Linked DNA regions of Anolis sagrei. The protein of the gene in region 2 purifies or fractionates together with the protein of the main gene of each other region. This does not show direct contact. Links are inferred from orthologs where the notes say so. Each region holds a gene or a part of one and is shown on either strand. Other genes may lie near its edges.

The links.
Region 1: the proteins of SIGMAR1 (region 2) and NPC1 purify together in Homo sapiens (affinity purification with mass spectrometry; 3 studies listed by BioGRID and IntAct, with this or other methods). This does not show direct contact. The link is inferred for Anolis sagrei from reciprocal best matches to the Homo sapiens genes SIGMAR1 and NPC1.

The regions. Positions count from the first base shown.
Region 1 is NC_090024.1:59,675,102-59,683,480, reverse strand, and holds the start of NPC1 (NPC intracellular cholesterol transporter 1), read right to left. Parts: upstream 3,832-8,379; 5' UTR 3,729-3,831; coding exon 3,657-3,728; intron 1-3,656. UniProt on the Homo sapiens protein: Intracellular cholesterol transporter which acts in concert with NPC2 and plays an important role in the egress of cholesterol from the endosomal/lysosomal compartment.
Region 2 is NC_090022.1:300,378,761-300,387,068, reverse strand, and holds the start of SIGMAR1 (sigma non-opioid intracellular receptor 1), read right to left. Parts: upstream 3,465-8,308; 5' UTR 3,382-3,464; coding exon 3,219-3,381; intron 1-3,218. Other genes in the region: GALT (galactose-1-phosphate uridylyltransferase), read left to right, coding at 3,683-3,713, 7,289-7,458. UniProt on the Homo sapiens protein: Functions in lipid transport from the endoplasmic reticulum and is involved in a wide array of cellular functions probably through regulation of the biogenesis of lipid microdomains at the plasma membrane.

The DNA.
Region 1 (8,379 bases), on a different chromosome or scaffold from region 2:
AAGTCCAATTTGCAGTTTTGCACAAATAAGGAACTGGGAACAAACTTTCATGTCCCTCGGGTGCCACAGATGTTCGCTCCTTCTCAACCAAAGAGCTGGGGAGGAAGCAACCAAAGCCAATGTTCCCTAGAAGTTCTGCTTACCTGTTCTGTCTGTGGCTTTGAGAGCAAAACAGAAACAGAGGCCGGGAGTCCTGGAGTGCGTAGGCAGTATATCAATGAATGCTTCTCAACCTGGGGGTTGAGACTGCTGGGGGGGGGGGTCACCAGGGGGTGTCAGAGGGGTCACCAAAGACCATCAGAAAACACAGTATTTTCTGTTGATCATGGGGGTTCTGTGTGGGAAGCTTGGACTAAATCTATCATTGGTGGGGTTCAGAATGCTCTTTGGTTGTAGGTGAACTATAAATCCCACTACTACAACTCCCAAATGACAAGGTCTATTTTCCCCCACACTCCACAAATGTTCACATTTGGGCATATTGAGTATTTGTGCCAAGTTTGGTCCAGATCCATCAATTTTTGTGTCCACAATGCTCTCTGGATGTAGGTGAACTACAACTCCAAAACTCAAGGTCAATGCCCACCAAACTCTTCCAGTATTTTCTGTTGGTCATGGGAGTTCTGTATGCCAAGTTTGATTCAATTCCATCGTTGGTGGAGTTCAGAATGCTCCATGATAGTAGGTGAACTATAAATCCCAGCAACTACACCTCCCAAATGTTAAGGTCTATTTCCCCCAAACTCCACCAGTGTTCACATTTGGGCATATTGAGTATTTGTGCCAATTTTTCGTCCAGTGAATGAAAATACATCCTGCATATCAGATAGAGTTCTGCGTGCCAAGTTTGGTTCGATTCCATCATTGGTGGAGTACAGAATGCTCTTTGATTGTAGGTGAACTATAAATCCCAGCAACTACAACTCCCAAATGACAAAATTAATCCCCCCCAACCCCACTATATTCAAATTTGGGCATATTGGGTATTTATGCCAAATTTGGTCCAGTGAATGAAAATACACCCTGCATGTTAACGGGGGCCCATTACAGAGAGAGGTCAACCCTCCTGTTTAAGGAGCTCCACTGGCTGCCGTTCATTTTCTGAGCCCAATTTAAGGTGCAGGTGCTTACCTACAAAGCCCTGAACGGTTTGGGACCACCCTACCTGCGTGACCGCATCGCTGTCTACGAACCCACACGCTCACTCCAGTCATCAGGAGAGGCCCTGCTCGTGATCCCGCCCGCGTCACAGCCGCGTTTGGTGGGGACGCGAGACAGGGCCTTCTCTGTGGTGGCCCCCCGCCTCTGGAATGCCCTCCCGAAAGATCTCAGACAGGCCCCTACTTTGGCGGTTTTCAGAAAGAATCTGAAAACCTGGCTGTTCCAACGTGCCTTTTCAGATTAGGAACCCCACTACCAAACCCCAGAAGCACTTTAGTAGAGCCAAGATCACTGCTCATTGCACACTGCACTTGATTTTAATCCCATATCCCTCCGACACTTCAGCACTTTTTAATCCTGTACCCCTACTCCGGCCGGCTCAGTTTTTAATAATTGTCCTGTTGCATTGCTATTGTTTATTGTTTTCTGCTTTAACTGTTTTATTTGCTATGTACTGTATTGTTGTATTGTGTTGGGCTCTGGCCTGCTGTAAGCCGCATCGAATCCCTTGGGAGATGCTAGCGGGGTACAAATAAAGTTATAATAATATAATAATAATATAATAATATCATATATTTACATGATGATTCAGAACAGTAGCAAAATTACAGTTATGAATTAACAATGAAAATAATTTTATGATTTGGTGGCCACCACAACATGAGGAACTGTATTAAGGGGTCATGGGATTAGGAAGGTTGAGAACCACTGACCTATGATAACTCTGTCAGGAGTGAATTATCCCCTTCCTAGGATAATAATTTCTCTCTCACTTCCTATTGTCTCACCCCGTTCTTAATATGAGTTGTTTCTAAGTCAGATATTTGTAACTCAGGGACTGCCTGTACCTTGGAGAAAGGTAAACATTGGACGGGGAGACACTTGGGGTTGTTTTCCTCTCCTGCAGCCCTGAATCATCTCTCTTGCACTCACTCATCCTGCTGCTGAATGCCACCACCACACAACCCACAAAGCACTCCATTCCCAGTCTCTTTGGGTGTATCATAGAGTTGGAACACATGGGACATCTAGTCCAACCCCTTGCCATGTAGTATCTACACCAGGTATGGGCCAAGTTGGATCCTCTAGGTGTTTTGGACTTCAACTCCTACCATTCCTAACAGCCTCAGGCCCTTCCTTGGGAATAGGAAAGGGCCCGAGGCTGTTAGGAATGGTGGGAGTTGAAGTCCAAAATACCTGGAGGGCCCAAGTTGGCCCATGTCTGGTTTAAACAGTCCTAATAAGCACATTTCTGGGGTATTTTCTTGACCTTTTGCCCCCTTTGAGGAGGGCTTCTTTGTAAACCCACTAATGCTGCATCACACTAGAGAGAAAAAAATCACTTAAATCCGGTTTCTGCCTCCTGCAGAATTCTGGGGTTTGTAGCTGAGGAAGAAGCCTTTCATAGCCTCCCTAAACTACAAACCCCAGAATTGAATAGCCTCCCAAAACATCAAACCCCAGTATTTAATAGCCTCCCTAAACTACAAACCTCAGAATTTAATAGCCTCCCAAAACTACAAACCCCAGAATTTAATAGCCTCCCAAAACTTCAAACCACAGAATGTCATAGCCTCCCTAAACTACAAACCCCGGAAAAGAATACCCTCCCTAAACGAGAAACCCCAGAATTTAATAGCCTCCCTAAATGAGAAACCCCATAATTGAATATTCCTCTAAACAACGAACCACAGAATTGAATAGCCTCCCTAAACTACAAATCCCAGAATTTAATAGCCTCCCTAAACTAAAACCCAAGAATTTAATAGCCTCCCAAAACTACAAGCCCAAGTATTTGATAGCCTCCCTAATCTACAAACCCCAGTATTTGATAGCCTCCCTAAACTATAAACCCCAGAATTTAATAACCTCCCTAAACGAGAAATCCCAGAATTGAATAGCTTCTCTAAACGACTAACCCTAGAATTTCATAGCCTCCCTAGACTACAAACCTCAGAATTGCACAGCCTGCCTAAACTAAAAAAACCCTAGAATTGAATAGCCTCCCTAAACTACAAATCCCAGGATTTCATAGTCTCCCTAAACTACAAACCCCTGAATTGCATAGTCTTCTTAAACTACAAAACCTAGAATTGAATATCCTCCCTAAACTACAAACCCCAAAATATAATAGCCTACCTAAACTACAAACCCCAGAATTTGATATCCTCCCTAAACTACAAACCCCAAAATATCTAATAAACTACAAACCCCAAAATATCTAATAAACTACAAACCCCAGAATTCTGCGGGAGGCAGAAACCGGATTTCAAGTGGATTTTTTTCCTCTAGTGTGATGAGGCAAGCGGATTTTAAGTGGATTTTTTCTCCCCTGGCCCAGTGCGGACCCAGCAGAGCGCTTGAAAGGCTTAATGCTGGGACTTGCGGGCTTTCTTTCGAGCTGCCTCTCCTTCTACCCCCAGGAACCCCACAACTGTCAACCCGCGACCAAGGTGCGGTGTGGCTGAGCCCTGCCTGCTGGTGGACTCACTCACCTTGTCGGGAAGAAGCAGCGCCAGGAAAGAGGCCACGGCGAGGAGGCTCAGGCCGCGGGCCCGGTTCGCCATCTCGGAGGGGAGCTGAGAAAGCAACGCCGGGAGTCAGGAGGACAAGCCTGGGAGCGGAAAGGCCTGGCCAGGCTAGAGAGTGAGCCCGCCCCCAAAGAGGAGGAGGAGGAGGAGGAGGAGGAGGCCGCCCCTTTCCTGTGGGGTGACTTGAAGAGCTCCTCCCCCGAGGACGGCTCCAGGAACCGGTTCCTCCGCCCTTGAGCCTCGCCTTGCAAATAAGACTCGTCTGCCGGCATGGGCCAACTTGGGCCCTCCTTCCAGGTGTTTTGGACTTCAACTCCCACAATTCCTAACAGCCGGTAGGGAGTTGAAGTCCAAAACACCTGGAAAGAGGGCCCAAGTTGGCCCATGCCTGCACTATGGAATGAATCCACTTTCAATCCGGTTTCTGCCTCCAGCAGAATTCTGGGCTTTGTAGTTTAGGGGGGGGGGCTGTTAAAGGCTATCTTAACTAGTTTTGCATATTGGCCCACTCTCCCTTCCCCCAAATATGAGTCTGTTGCTGCTTAGAATGCTTGTTTATTATTGTTTATGTTGTTTTTATGCTATTTTAATATATTATTTTTAATTGTATGTTGCCTTCTTCCTCCCTAGTCCCATCCTTTCGCAATCCCACCCTTCCAGAGAAAGGACCATTTCAACTTCTGAGCTGCTGTAAATTTTCCAGGCTGTATGGCCGTGTTCCAAAAGCATTCTCTCCTGACATTTCGCCTGCATCTATGGTTGAGGTTGTGAGGTCTGTTAGAAACTAGGAAAATTGGGTTTATAATATCCTGCCGTCAGCCCCGGCTTCTGCCAACCTAATAGTTCAAAAACATGCAAATGTGAGTAGATCGGTAGGTACCACTCAGGCGGGAAGGTAACAGCGCTTTTTGCAGTCATGCCGGCCACATGACCTTGGAGGTGTCTATGGACAACACTGGCTCTTCAGCTTAGAAATGGAGATGAGCACCAACCCCCAGAGTGAGACATGACTAGACTTTATGTCAGGGGAAACCTTTACCTATATCTGTGGAATGTCCATATCTGTGGAAACACCATGTCAGACTACACAGAGAAGCCAATTAAATCCACACGCATGTGGACAATTTCAACAGGAAGGAAGAAACCATGAAAATGGAGAAACTCTGGCTACCTGTATTTAAAAAACTCTAAAATTATAACAGTAAATAAAGAACAACATCCAAAAAAACAGAGGAACTCCAGACAAGAAGCAATCAGGGACAGCTAATCACCTCCCAACAAAGGATTCCCCCAGGCAGTAACCAGCCAGACCTTGAAGCTGCAAAGCCATTAAAAGCTAATCAAGGTAGTTAACAACAACAGAGGGACTTTCCAGACAGGCCCTATATCCCAGGACCTGATCCCAAGTTTTCTGTTTATCTCAGTTTATCTGGCAGTGCGGACTCGTATAATCCAGTTTAAAGCAGAAAACCTGGGATCAGATCCCAGGATATAGGTTGTGTTTGGAAGGGCCCTGAGTCTTCCTTGCCTAAGAAAATCCTGATTACTTTCCCGCTGGTGCTCCATGCAGTCATGCTGGCCACATGACCTTGGAGGTGTCTACGGACAATGCCAGCTTTTTGGCTTAGAAATTGAGATGAGCACCACACCCCAGAGTTGGACACGACTGGACTTAATGTCAGGAGAAAACCTTTATCTAATATAATTTGATGTTTAATAGGCTTTTCCTTAATCTCTCCTTATTATCCAACATTTTCGCTTATCCAACGTTCTGCCAGCCTATTTATGTTGGATAAGTGAGACTCGGAGGCAGGTAATATTTTTTTTCTAAACCAAAGCTGGAAACTAAATAGATGTTGCAAGAAAAAAAAACATGTTTTTCTTGGATCAGCAAAACTTTATTGAAATTTATACTTCACATGTAAGGAGTTGGATCTAGATTTAGGCTCATTAAAAGTTTGGAGAAGCAGATTTCTTACGCAGTTCCTTAAGCCGTCTGGAAGTGCCATAGACGCCTTTCTGAACTGCAATCAAACTGCATCACGTGAGTCTGTACTGACCATATCCTGCAGTTACATGACAGTGTAGACAAGGTCTTAGAAAAAGGGAAGCGACACTGGATTGATCCCGGTATTTGAAAGTTTCAGATCTAGCTCCCTGGAAGCAAACAATCTTTTATGGATTTCCATGCCAGTTATAATACAGTTGCTTTTGTTTGTGCTCACAAAAGCATGTGATGTGCTTGAGCGATCAGCATTGTGGTGTGTCTTGCTGTTTTGGATTGTATCACAATTCTTTCAACAATGGGAGTGTTTGTCCTACAACAGCCGACTTCCATTTATTTCCAGTGTGTCATTACTTGAGAGGCCTGGATGTCTTTCTTCCTCACGTGCCTTTGGTTTGCAGGCCCCTTGCTCTGTAAATCTTTGTCTGTGACACTCCCGTTGTTTTGTGTTTAAAAATTATAGGATGACCTTTGTGTAGCTTTCATCTAATCTTCCTAGGAAAGTGCTGAGATTGTGGCTGCAAACCCATTCTGACCCATTCACTCCAATCTGAAGTACGGCTGACAAAGCTATCAGTCCCTTCTATTGTGTCTCTGGTAGATGATCTAAAAAGTATTATTTGCCGATGTATAATACCTTTAATAATGCTGATAATTTTTAACACTAGATCACTGTTTCTTAACCTGGGGGGTGGGACCCATTTGGGGTGGGGGTCACAAGGAGGATGTCAGAGGGGTTGCCAAAGACCATCAGAAAACACAGTATTTTCTGTTTAGCATGAGGCTTCTGTGTGGGAAGTTTGGTCCGATTCTATAGTTGTTGGGGTTCAGAATGCTCTTTGATTGTAAGTGAACTATAAATCCCTGCAACTACAACTCCCAAGTGTCAAGGTCTATTTCCCCCAAACTCCACCAGTATTCACATTTGGGCATATTGAGTATTTGTGCCAAGTTTAGTCCAGATCCATCATTGTTTGACTCAACAGTGCTCTCTGGATGTAGGTGAACTACAACTCCAAAACTCAAGGTCAGTATTTTCTGTTGGTCGTGGGAGTTCTGTGTGCCAAATCTGGTTCAATTCCATTATTGCTGGAATTCAGAATGCCGTTTGATTGTAGGTGAACTATAAATCCCAGCAACTACAATTCCCAAATGACAAAATCAATCCCCCTCCCAATCCCACCAGTATTCAAATTTGAGCATATTGAGTATTTGTACCAAATTTGATTCAGTCAATGAAAAAACACCCTGCATCAAGATTCATAACACTTTCAAAATTACAGTTATGAAGTAGCAACAAAAATATTTTATGGTTGGAGGTCACCACAAGATGAAGAACTATATTAAGGGATCACAGCATTAGGAAGGTTGAGAAACATTGCACTAGATCCACAACATTGTTGCACACATTTTTGGGGGAGAGAGAGAGTAAACCAACTGATTACAGAGGTCTTAACCCTCAGATAAAAGTGCAGAAAGTTGTCTTTCTTGCCACACTTCCATCTTCTTGATTATACATTTTACTGGCTCCATTCTATATACTGTTATGCGATGTTTGGCTTTTTAAGATTGTAGAACCGATGGAGATGGAGCATGGGAGAATTTCGTCCAGTATGTTGTTTACATGGATACAAAATGTGTGTGTTGCTGAAATAAAGTAGTTAACTAGTATTGACATTATTACTATTGGATGACAGTGTTAACTTGCTTGTTATCTGACTCAGTAGTAACCAAATGACTAAGCAGGAGTGTCTGTGTGTCAGTCAGCACAAATGCCACTCAGTGTTTCGCAACCGACCTTTTGGGACCATCAGCTGGTGAAAATACTTATTTTTAGAAAGGTTATCATGATTCAGTTCATAAATATTGTCATCCTGTTTTAAAATGTAAAGGATATGAAGAAATCCAAAGTCCATCTAATTAAATTTAATAGGAAAACAAAGATTTTGTTACAGAAGCAAAATCATTTAAATAGATTTTCACTGTTGTGTGATAGAGGAGCCTACATAGAATATACCATGAGACAAAAGGATATGACTAATATTCAGATTTTTAGATTACTTGCATGAATCCTGTAAATGACAGACCACAGTGAGGACTTTCTTCTTGTGAATAAAATAATCAATGGGACAAGTTTTTGCCCTTTGCTTCATGGTTCATACTAGGATCCTTCTAGACTTTTACATCAGCAGCATGCAAAAGCATTTCTTTAAAAATCCCTATAGTTTAATGTCATATAAATTAGTATATAGCTTGGATAAAATACTGCTCACCAATATACTGAAAGACTAACTAAGGATCTCATCATATTAGAGAATGAATCCACTTTAAATCCGGTTTCTGCCTCCTGCAGAATTCTGGGGTTTGTAGTTTAGGGAGCAGCCTTTAAACAGCCTCACTAAACTACAAACCCCAGAATTCTGCAACTAGATTTAAAGTGGATTCATTCTCTAGTATGATGAAGTAGTAAAAGCATATTTGAAATGGGGAAAAAACTCTCTACCTTTGGAGGGCCAAACTGCACTTAATATGAAAGAAGTTCCAAGCTGGGAGACATAATTAAAAAAAAACAAACTCCATTGCATTGTGTCAGAAGCAACCCTGAGAAACTACAAGTCGCTTTTGGTGTGAGAGAAATGGCCATCTGCAGAGACATTGCCCAGGGGACGGCCGGATGTGTTA
Region 2 (8,308 bases):
CAAAATCTTTTGCCTAAGTGGGGGAAACTGCCTGTAGAGTCACACTGGGAGACCTAGAGAGAACATCCGTGTTATGACTTGCCATTCTGGGAGACTTTTCTTCCTCCCTGTTTAATAATTTACTAAGAGTGATAAATCAGAACAGGATGAGAAATAATTAGTAAACAGAAGAGGGAAGATGCCAAGACGTAATAAACCATTAACAAAATACCAATGAGGAAAGGCAAATACAGAAGATGAAGAGAACCCCACAGATGAGAGGGAAGACGCATAAAAAATAAACATAAACATAAAACACAACAAAATCCTAAAAAGGCAAAACTGCAAATGTGAAGACCCTATTTGCAAAAATGATCAGTTGGAAGAGCTCCCTTTTGGTTACCATTTTATTGCCCTGTCAACCTTTTCATGTGTGTGTTTTCCATGGCAGGCATTGATCATTGATCTAAAACTCTTCTAAGACTACGGTTTTCTATTTATTATAGAATCATAGAGTTGGAAGAGACCTCGTGGGCCATCCAGTCCAACTTCCTGTCAAGAAGAAGGAATATTGCATTCAAAGCACCCCTGACAGATGGCCATCCAGCCTCTGTTTAAAAGCTTCCAAAGAAGGAGCCTCCACCAAACTCCGGGGCAGAGAGTTCCACTGCTGAACGGCTCTTGCAGTCACGAAGTTCTTCCTCATGTTCAGATGGAATCTCCTCTCTTGTAGTTGGAAGCCACTGTTCCACATCCTAGTCTCCAGGGCAGCGGAAAACAAGCTCTCACATATTTATACATGGCTATCATATCTCCTCTCAGCCTTCTCTTCTTCAGGCTAAACATCCCCAGCTCTTTAAGATGCTCTTCATAGGGCTTGTTCTCCAGACCCTTGATCATTTTAGTCGCCCTCCTCTGGACACATTCCAGCTTGTCAATATCTCTCTTGAATTGTATGAAGAATTCATAGTATTCTTCATACCATTGCAATTTATTACTTAAATCTTGTCCCCTTCACCATGAAAATGAATAGAATCTGGTTACCAGTATTAAAAAATGCCAAAATCAAGACACGAAACAAGGAACATGAAGGGGACAATGGACACCTCTTTAATTTGATTAATATATAGCAATGGTATGAAGCATAGTTTGATCAAATAAATAGGCTTAGTCTTTAGTGTTAGAATCTGCTATGAGAAAAACAGGCTGACAGGGCAAAGAAAGGCAACCACCTTCTTTAGAGATTCGGAGAGCTCAATTGAAGGTCTGGAAGGTCAAATTGGAATTGGGAAGTTGTGTTTTCCTGAGCTGTTTTGGTAAGCATCTGATCAAATGGTGCCATGTGCAGGATGAAACAAAATGAAAAGGAGAGGGGGCGTGAGAACAAGGATGTTTGTGAAGTGCACTGTACCTGCAAAAACTATAAGAATCCTATGTAAGATCTCATTTTGGTGTGCGGCTTTCCTTTCAGGATGGTCACCTGCAGCTGATTTGCAAATAACTCTGTGTTTTTCTGTCTACGCTGCCTTCTAGTTCCTTATTGGAAACCAAGACTAGGGGGTTCCACAAGCTTTGCCTGCTTAAAAAGGGGTTTCGCACGTTAGCCTCTTCACTCTGGAGTATTAGCTCTCCCTCCTAATTTGGTGTCATCTGCAAACTTGATTGGCATGCCTGCTAAACCAGGCTTGGGCAAACTTGGGCCCTCTCTCCAGGTGTTTTGGACTTCAACTCCCACAATTCCTAACAGTCAGTAGGAATTGTGGGAGTTGAAGTCCAAAACACCTGGAGAAAGGGCCCAAGTACTGGTATAGAATCCTAGAGTTGGAAGAGACCTGGTGAGCCATCCAGTTCAACCCCATTCTGCCAGCAAGCAGGAAAATTACATTCAAAGCACCCCCGCACCATCCAGCCTCTGTTTAAAAGCTTCTGTGTAGGAAAAAAAAACCCTTTGCTATGTAGGAACCCTGTGTAGGAAAAAAAAAAACCCTGTACTGGTATGGCTGTACCAGGAGCTCCAACTTTATTTTCTTTCTGTTAAAGTTTGCAATCATAGGGCAGGCCACCTGTCCATCTTAATTAAGCTTTGGTTCCGCCCTTGTTCAGGGCTCTGGGAGGGAAAGGAGCCCTTTTTGGTCAGTCTCACACAAGGTAGCTAAGCTATATGATGTAGACCAGCTCGTCCCGTAGAAAAGCTTCCTTTCTCCAGAGCATCCAGGGGAACAGACCATTCGGGTAAACAGAAATTCCAGGGAAAAGGTCCCAAGGCTCTGGCTGAGAGCTCACAGCCTCACAGCAAACAGAGGGAAAACAGCCCTGAAGTTCTCAAAGAATTCTCTGAGGGAGGACAGCACTACAGATCCATGGAACTCCATCTGAAATATCTACAAGCCTTGGCTGGTAGGTCTACTTGATACCCAGACGCATTTGGAATCGGTAGTAGGACCCACACTGATGAGGCATAGATAGTAAACAGCCTGGGAAAGGTTAAAAAGGGGGTTTTTTTCCTACAGAGAAAGTACAGTTAATTAAAGTCAGGTGCCAGCCCATTGAGGACTAGACTAAGAAAGCCTTGAAGTGTTGTTTGAACCATTGAAGATTTGTTGTTTGTTCCTTAATAAAGACGTATCGTTAAAGACTCTAAAGACCATCACTTCAGAAAAATCCCTGAGAACCTCTCTTTGAGGCTTCCCGCTGGGCTTAAAGTATACGTCCTATAGAAAAGACAGCTCTTACAGGCCCAGCTTCCAAAGAAAGAGAAAGCTAAGGTTTTAGTGGACCGCAATGGACTGATTTGGATGACGATTTGAACCGGCAAACTGTTTTAATGCATATTTTATGTATATTTATAACTGTTTTTAATGTATGCTAATTGTATTTAATGTTATGTTATTATATTGTGTCGGCATCGAATAGCTGCCTGTTGGAAGCCGTCCTGAGTCCCTCCCAAACTGAGGGCGCCTCCAGGCCACAGCAGCCAGGCCACCTCCAGGCAGATACCTTCACTGATTGACTTTGCAATTGCCAGTGAAGACCTCCCAAACTGAGGGTGCCTCCAGGCCACAGCAGCCAGGCCACCTCCAGGCAGATACCTTCACTGATTGACTTTGCAACTTCATGCTGTCCAAAATTCCTTTGCACAGACAATAAAAGAAACTACAATCCCTGGACGGAGCCTGCGCCTACACTGAGGAACGAATGCGGGTCGGTAACGCTGCCAGGGCCAGGGGAGGCCTACCCACCGGCGTGGTGCTTCCCGAGCCGGGCGATCTCCTCCGGGTCGAACTCGAAGCGGCGGGCAGAGCTGGAGGCGGCGGCCCAGCTGCGCAGCACCTGGACGAGGAGCGCGGCGGCGGCCACGGCGAGGGCCACCCGGACGGAGCGCGACCCCGGCAGGCCCCTCATCCTGGCCGCGGAGGGCGCTACGCGAGCAGCGCCTCGGAGGGCCCACCAGGCCGCCGCCAAGGACAGGCACAGCCAATCACCGGCGCGGGCCTCTTTCCCGCTCTCGGCGCGAGACAGAAAGCAGCCAATGGCGGCGCTCCTCTCTTTACAGCGGCCGGCCAATCGCAGTCCTCGCTTTCGGGCTCGCCCGATGGCTGGGCGGGGAAAGTGACGTGTGTGAATCGGCGCGCTTGATTGGCGGAGGTCTTCAACCAATCGCGGATGGGATTGGTCACGTGAGCGCCCCGGCAGGAAAAGCAAGATGGCGTCTGAGGGAAAGTTCCAGCCAAGCGGTAGGTAGGGTCTCCCTGTCTATTAAAACAAACATGTTGAAATATTGATTTTATTTATTTAAAAGTTTTGTATGCCGGCCTTCTCACCTCTCTTGAGGGACTCAGACCGGTTTCCAACCATAATATCACATACAATCAATAAAACATCATAATACATATTACAGTAAAACATTAAAACAGCAATTACAATCAATAACTACAATGGTCAGTCGTCACACTAAAATCCTTGCTCATCATCCTCCATCTGTATCTCAGGGTGTTGGTTCACTCATCGAATGCCTGTCTCCATAACCACGTCTTCACCTGTTTCCTAAATGTCAGAATAGAAGGGGCAGTTCTGATCTCCAGTGGGAGAGAGTTCCAGAGTCGAGGGGCCACCACCGAGAAGGCCCTGTCCCTCGTCCCCACCAGACGCGCTTGCAGGGCCTCTCCAGACGATCTTAATAATGTATTGTCGAAGGCTTTCATGGCTGGAATCACTAGGTTCTTGTAGGTTTTTTCGGGCTATAGGGCCATGTTCTAGAGGCATTTCTCCTGACTATCTTAATAATCTTGATGGTTCATAGGGGAGAATACATTCGGAGAGGTAAACAGGGCCGGAGTCGTTTAGGGCTTTATAGTAGGGCTGTCCAAACACGGAAAAAATTGTTTCTAAACTCGATTCATTTTTAGGGGTTTTTTGCGTTTCGTTATTTAAAAGAATTCCGAAATTTTCCTTTAAAAAAGTTCGATATTTACGAAATGTCGGAAATCATAAAACAATTACGAAACTATTACGAATCAATTACGAATCGATTCGTTAATGGCGGCCGCGATCGCGCAATACGCTAAAAAAACTTCTGAAGCTTTCCTCTCCCTCTGTTGTTGACTGTTGGTGTGATAATTATATTTTTTTTCACTGAGAAAACAAACAGCAACCCTAAAACTTGCACCAGGCATGCGGAAATAATAATGAAACATTTACAAATCAATAACGAATCAATTACGAAACAATTACGAAACGAATTGGAAAAATTTGTTTCGTTTTTTAGTTGCTCCTGAATGGTTCAATATCGCTTCGTTATCCCAAAAAAAAACAACGAATTTTTAACGAATTAGGAAATTACGAAACGAAACCGCCCAGCCCTACTTTATATTTTAACACCAGCACTTTGAATTGTGCTCGGAAGCTAATTGGCAACCAGTGGAGCTGGTGTAACAGCGGAGTGGTGTGCTCCCTGTACCCAGCATCCGTTAGTAGTCTGGCTGCCGAGCGCTGGACTAGCTGCAGCTTCCGGGCAGTCTTCAGAGGCAACCCCACGTAGAGAGCGTTGCAGTAGTCTAAACAGGATGTAACCAATATCTGAGACGGGCGTCAAAATACAACAATTTAAAAGCAATAACTAAAACTGACTGGTCTGGCCAGCTGAATGAGGATTGGAACCCTTGTCCCTGAAGTGATAGCTCTTTGCTCAAACCTGGTTCCAAACATCCTCTCAGGTGCCTGAAAGAAAAGTAGATACGAGACAAAGAGGGAAAGGAGAGAAGTAAGAAATAAAGAACGGAAAAAGAGAGAAGATATTCAGATTTCAGAAAGCTGGGATGGTTTGAGGAGCCCTGCACTATTGAATAATGCAGATTGGCACCACTTTTAAATCACCCTATTTATATTTGTCGTGTCAGGGCAACCAGTCAATTATATTACATTTCTAACAGAACAAAGCAAACAAACACACAAAATTTCTGAGTTTGGTCGTTGATTAAATGTCCTTTGAGCAGTATCTGGCCACTTGGAGTGCTTCTGGTGTTGCCGCAAGAAGGTCCTCCATTGTGCATGTGGCAGGGCTCAGGGTCAATGGATTGCTCTTTTCCACACTCGCATCTCGTGGATTCTACTTTGTGGCCCCATTTCTTAAGATTGGCTCTGCATCTTGTGGTGCCAGAGCGCAGTCTGTTCAGCGCCTTCCAAGTCGCCCAGTTTTCTGTGTGCCCAGGAGGGAGTCTCTCATTTGGTATCAGCCATGGATTGAGGTTCTGGGTTTGAGCCTGCCACTTTTGGACTCTCGCTTGCTGGGGTGTTCCAGCAAGTGTCTCTGTAGATCTTAGAAAACTATTTCTAGATTTAAGTCGTTGATGTGCTGGCTGATACCCAAACAAGGGATGGGCTGGAGATGTCACTGCCTTGGTCCTCAGAGCTTGGGATGCTTGTCTGTTCTTAAGGTGGAAGCCACATGTCTGTCTTTTAGATGGATTAGGGATCAGCTGGTTTTCCCTGTAATAGGCAGTAAGAGCACCTAGAGCTTCGGAGAGCTTCTGTTCAACCATCTCAAAGCTCCCTGCTTGAGCAGTGATGGCACGATCATCAGCATAGATGAAACTCTCTGTCCCTTCTGGCAGTGGCTGGTTATTTGTGTAGATGTTGAACATGGATGGAGCAAGCACGCTCCCCTGAGGCAGGCCGTTCTTCTGTTTCCGCCATCTGCTTCACCTTAACCCTAACCCATTTAAAATTCTATTACTAATAGTAATAATTCTAGTTGGACTTGTAGCTTTTTCATTATGTCCTCTATCACTTCCGGCATCACCTTTCTGGCCATCCTCTGAGATATCATGGATGTATGATACCTAGTTATTAGTCTCACCTTTTGCTTAAGGGATACATGTACGAGGGGTATTTTTTAAGTAAGGTCCGTTTGAACATAAGTACACAACTAAAGTTTATTTAGTTTCAGAAAGTACATACTTACTCTATTTTTCGACATAGTTGCCAAGTTTGTTCAAACACTTATCATACCTCTGAACCAATTTAAAAATACCCTCTTCATAAAAACTTGCCGCCTGCTACGATAACCAAGAGTTCACTGTCTGTTCTCACGAATCCTCGTTTCAACTGAAGCCACCAAATCGTCTGTAATCAAAGAAGGGCGACCAGAGCGGTCCTCATCATGGATGTTGTCACAGCCATCTTTGAATTGTCGTACCCACTTACGCACTTTGCTTTCGCTCATAACAGTATCACCATACACTTCACAAATCTGTTGATGAATTTCTGCAGCAGTCTTAAACATTTTTAAAGCACAGAACAGAACGGTACAGGTTAGCTGCAGAGCGGAAATTGAGCACAGTTGTTCCTGAGGCATGCCGGAACATGATGCATGCGCTCGTTGCGGTATGCACGCAAACTACTAGTGTCTACAACAAAACGGACCTTACTTAAAAAATACCCCTCGTAGGTATGGTGATTTGCTACTGGTGTTCACTACAATGCATAGCATGTCTGAGCTTTGCCTCTAAGTTCATGCCAATGTTCCTCCATTTATCTGTTTTTTTTCCTACTGAATTTTTGCCAAAATTAAGATTGTTTCTGAGAGTAAGAAATGCATGGTTATTGATGGCTTTGATGGCCAGAATCACTGGAGTGTTTTGCCAGACTGTCAGGAGAAAATGCTGCTAGAATACACCCATACAGCCTGGAAACTACACAACACTCCAGCACCTGGTTACTTTGCTGTGTGTTTCTAAGGCTTCACCTTTAAAGAGATTGGGGTGACCTCTTCTCCTTCTTTCCCTCTTTTCATGGTCTGGCTTTGGCACAGAACACCAGCACCTGCGCTACAACCCGCTGCGCGATGACTGGGTGCTGGTCTCTGCTCATCGCATGAAGCGGCCCTGGCAAGGGCAAGTGGAGGAGTCAGCCCAGGATGACGTCCCCCGCCACGACCCAGGCAACCCCCTCTGCCCAGGGGCACAAAGGGCCAGTGGCCAGGTAACTGACTGTCACGAATACTTTTTGAATCTTAAAAATGCCCTTTAATCCATTTTCAGTGGGACAGAGTACATCAGGCACTTTCAGATTTATTTATCGTGTCAGAAGTGAATTGAGAATACAGTTATAATGCATACAAGAAACCACGAAGTTAAGAGCTTGGCATTGTACTAATTTTCCTTTGACCAGAAGTTGGCCACTTCAAGTGCCTCTGGTGTGGCTGTAAGATGGTCCTCCATTGTGCACGTGGCAAGGCTCAGATTGCATTGTAATAGGTAGTCTGTGGTTTGCTCTTCTCCACACTTCCACATCGTGGACTCCACTTTGTAGCCCCATTTCTTAAGGTGGGCTCTGCATCTTGTGGTGCCAGATCGCAGTTTGTTCAGTACCTTCCAAGTCGCTCAGCCTTCTGTGTGCCATAGGGGAAGTTTCTCATCCAGTCTCAGTCACTGATTTAGCCTGCCACTTTTGGACTCTCGCTTGCTGAGATGATCCTGTGAGTATCTCTATAGAATCTTAGCAAGCTGTTTCTTGATTTAAGGCATTGGCATGCTTGTTGATATCCATACAGAGGATGGGCTGGAAATGTCAGTGCCTTTGTCCTTTCATTACAGGCTGCTACTTCCTGACTGATCTCAGGTGGTGCAATACTGACCAAATAGTATCATTTCTCCAATGGTGTAGGGTGTAGACATCTTGTGATAATGTGGCATGTCTCACTAAGTCCCACATCCACTGTTTTAATATGGTGAGATGTCTATGACTGCCACATTACATTTAAAATGAACACCAGCGCCAGCCATTTTTAATTTTAAATTTCTTTTAGGGTATTTGTTTTTATTTATGTTTT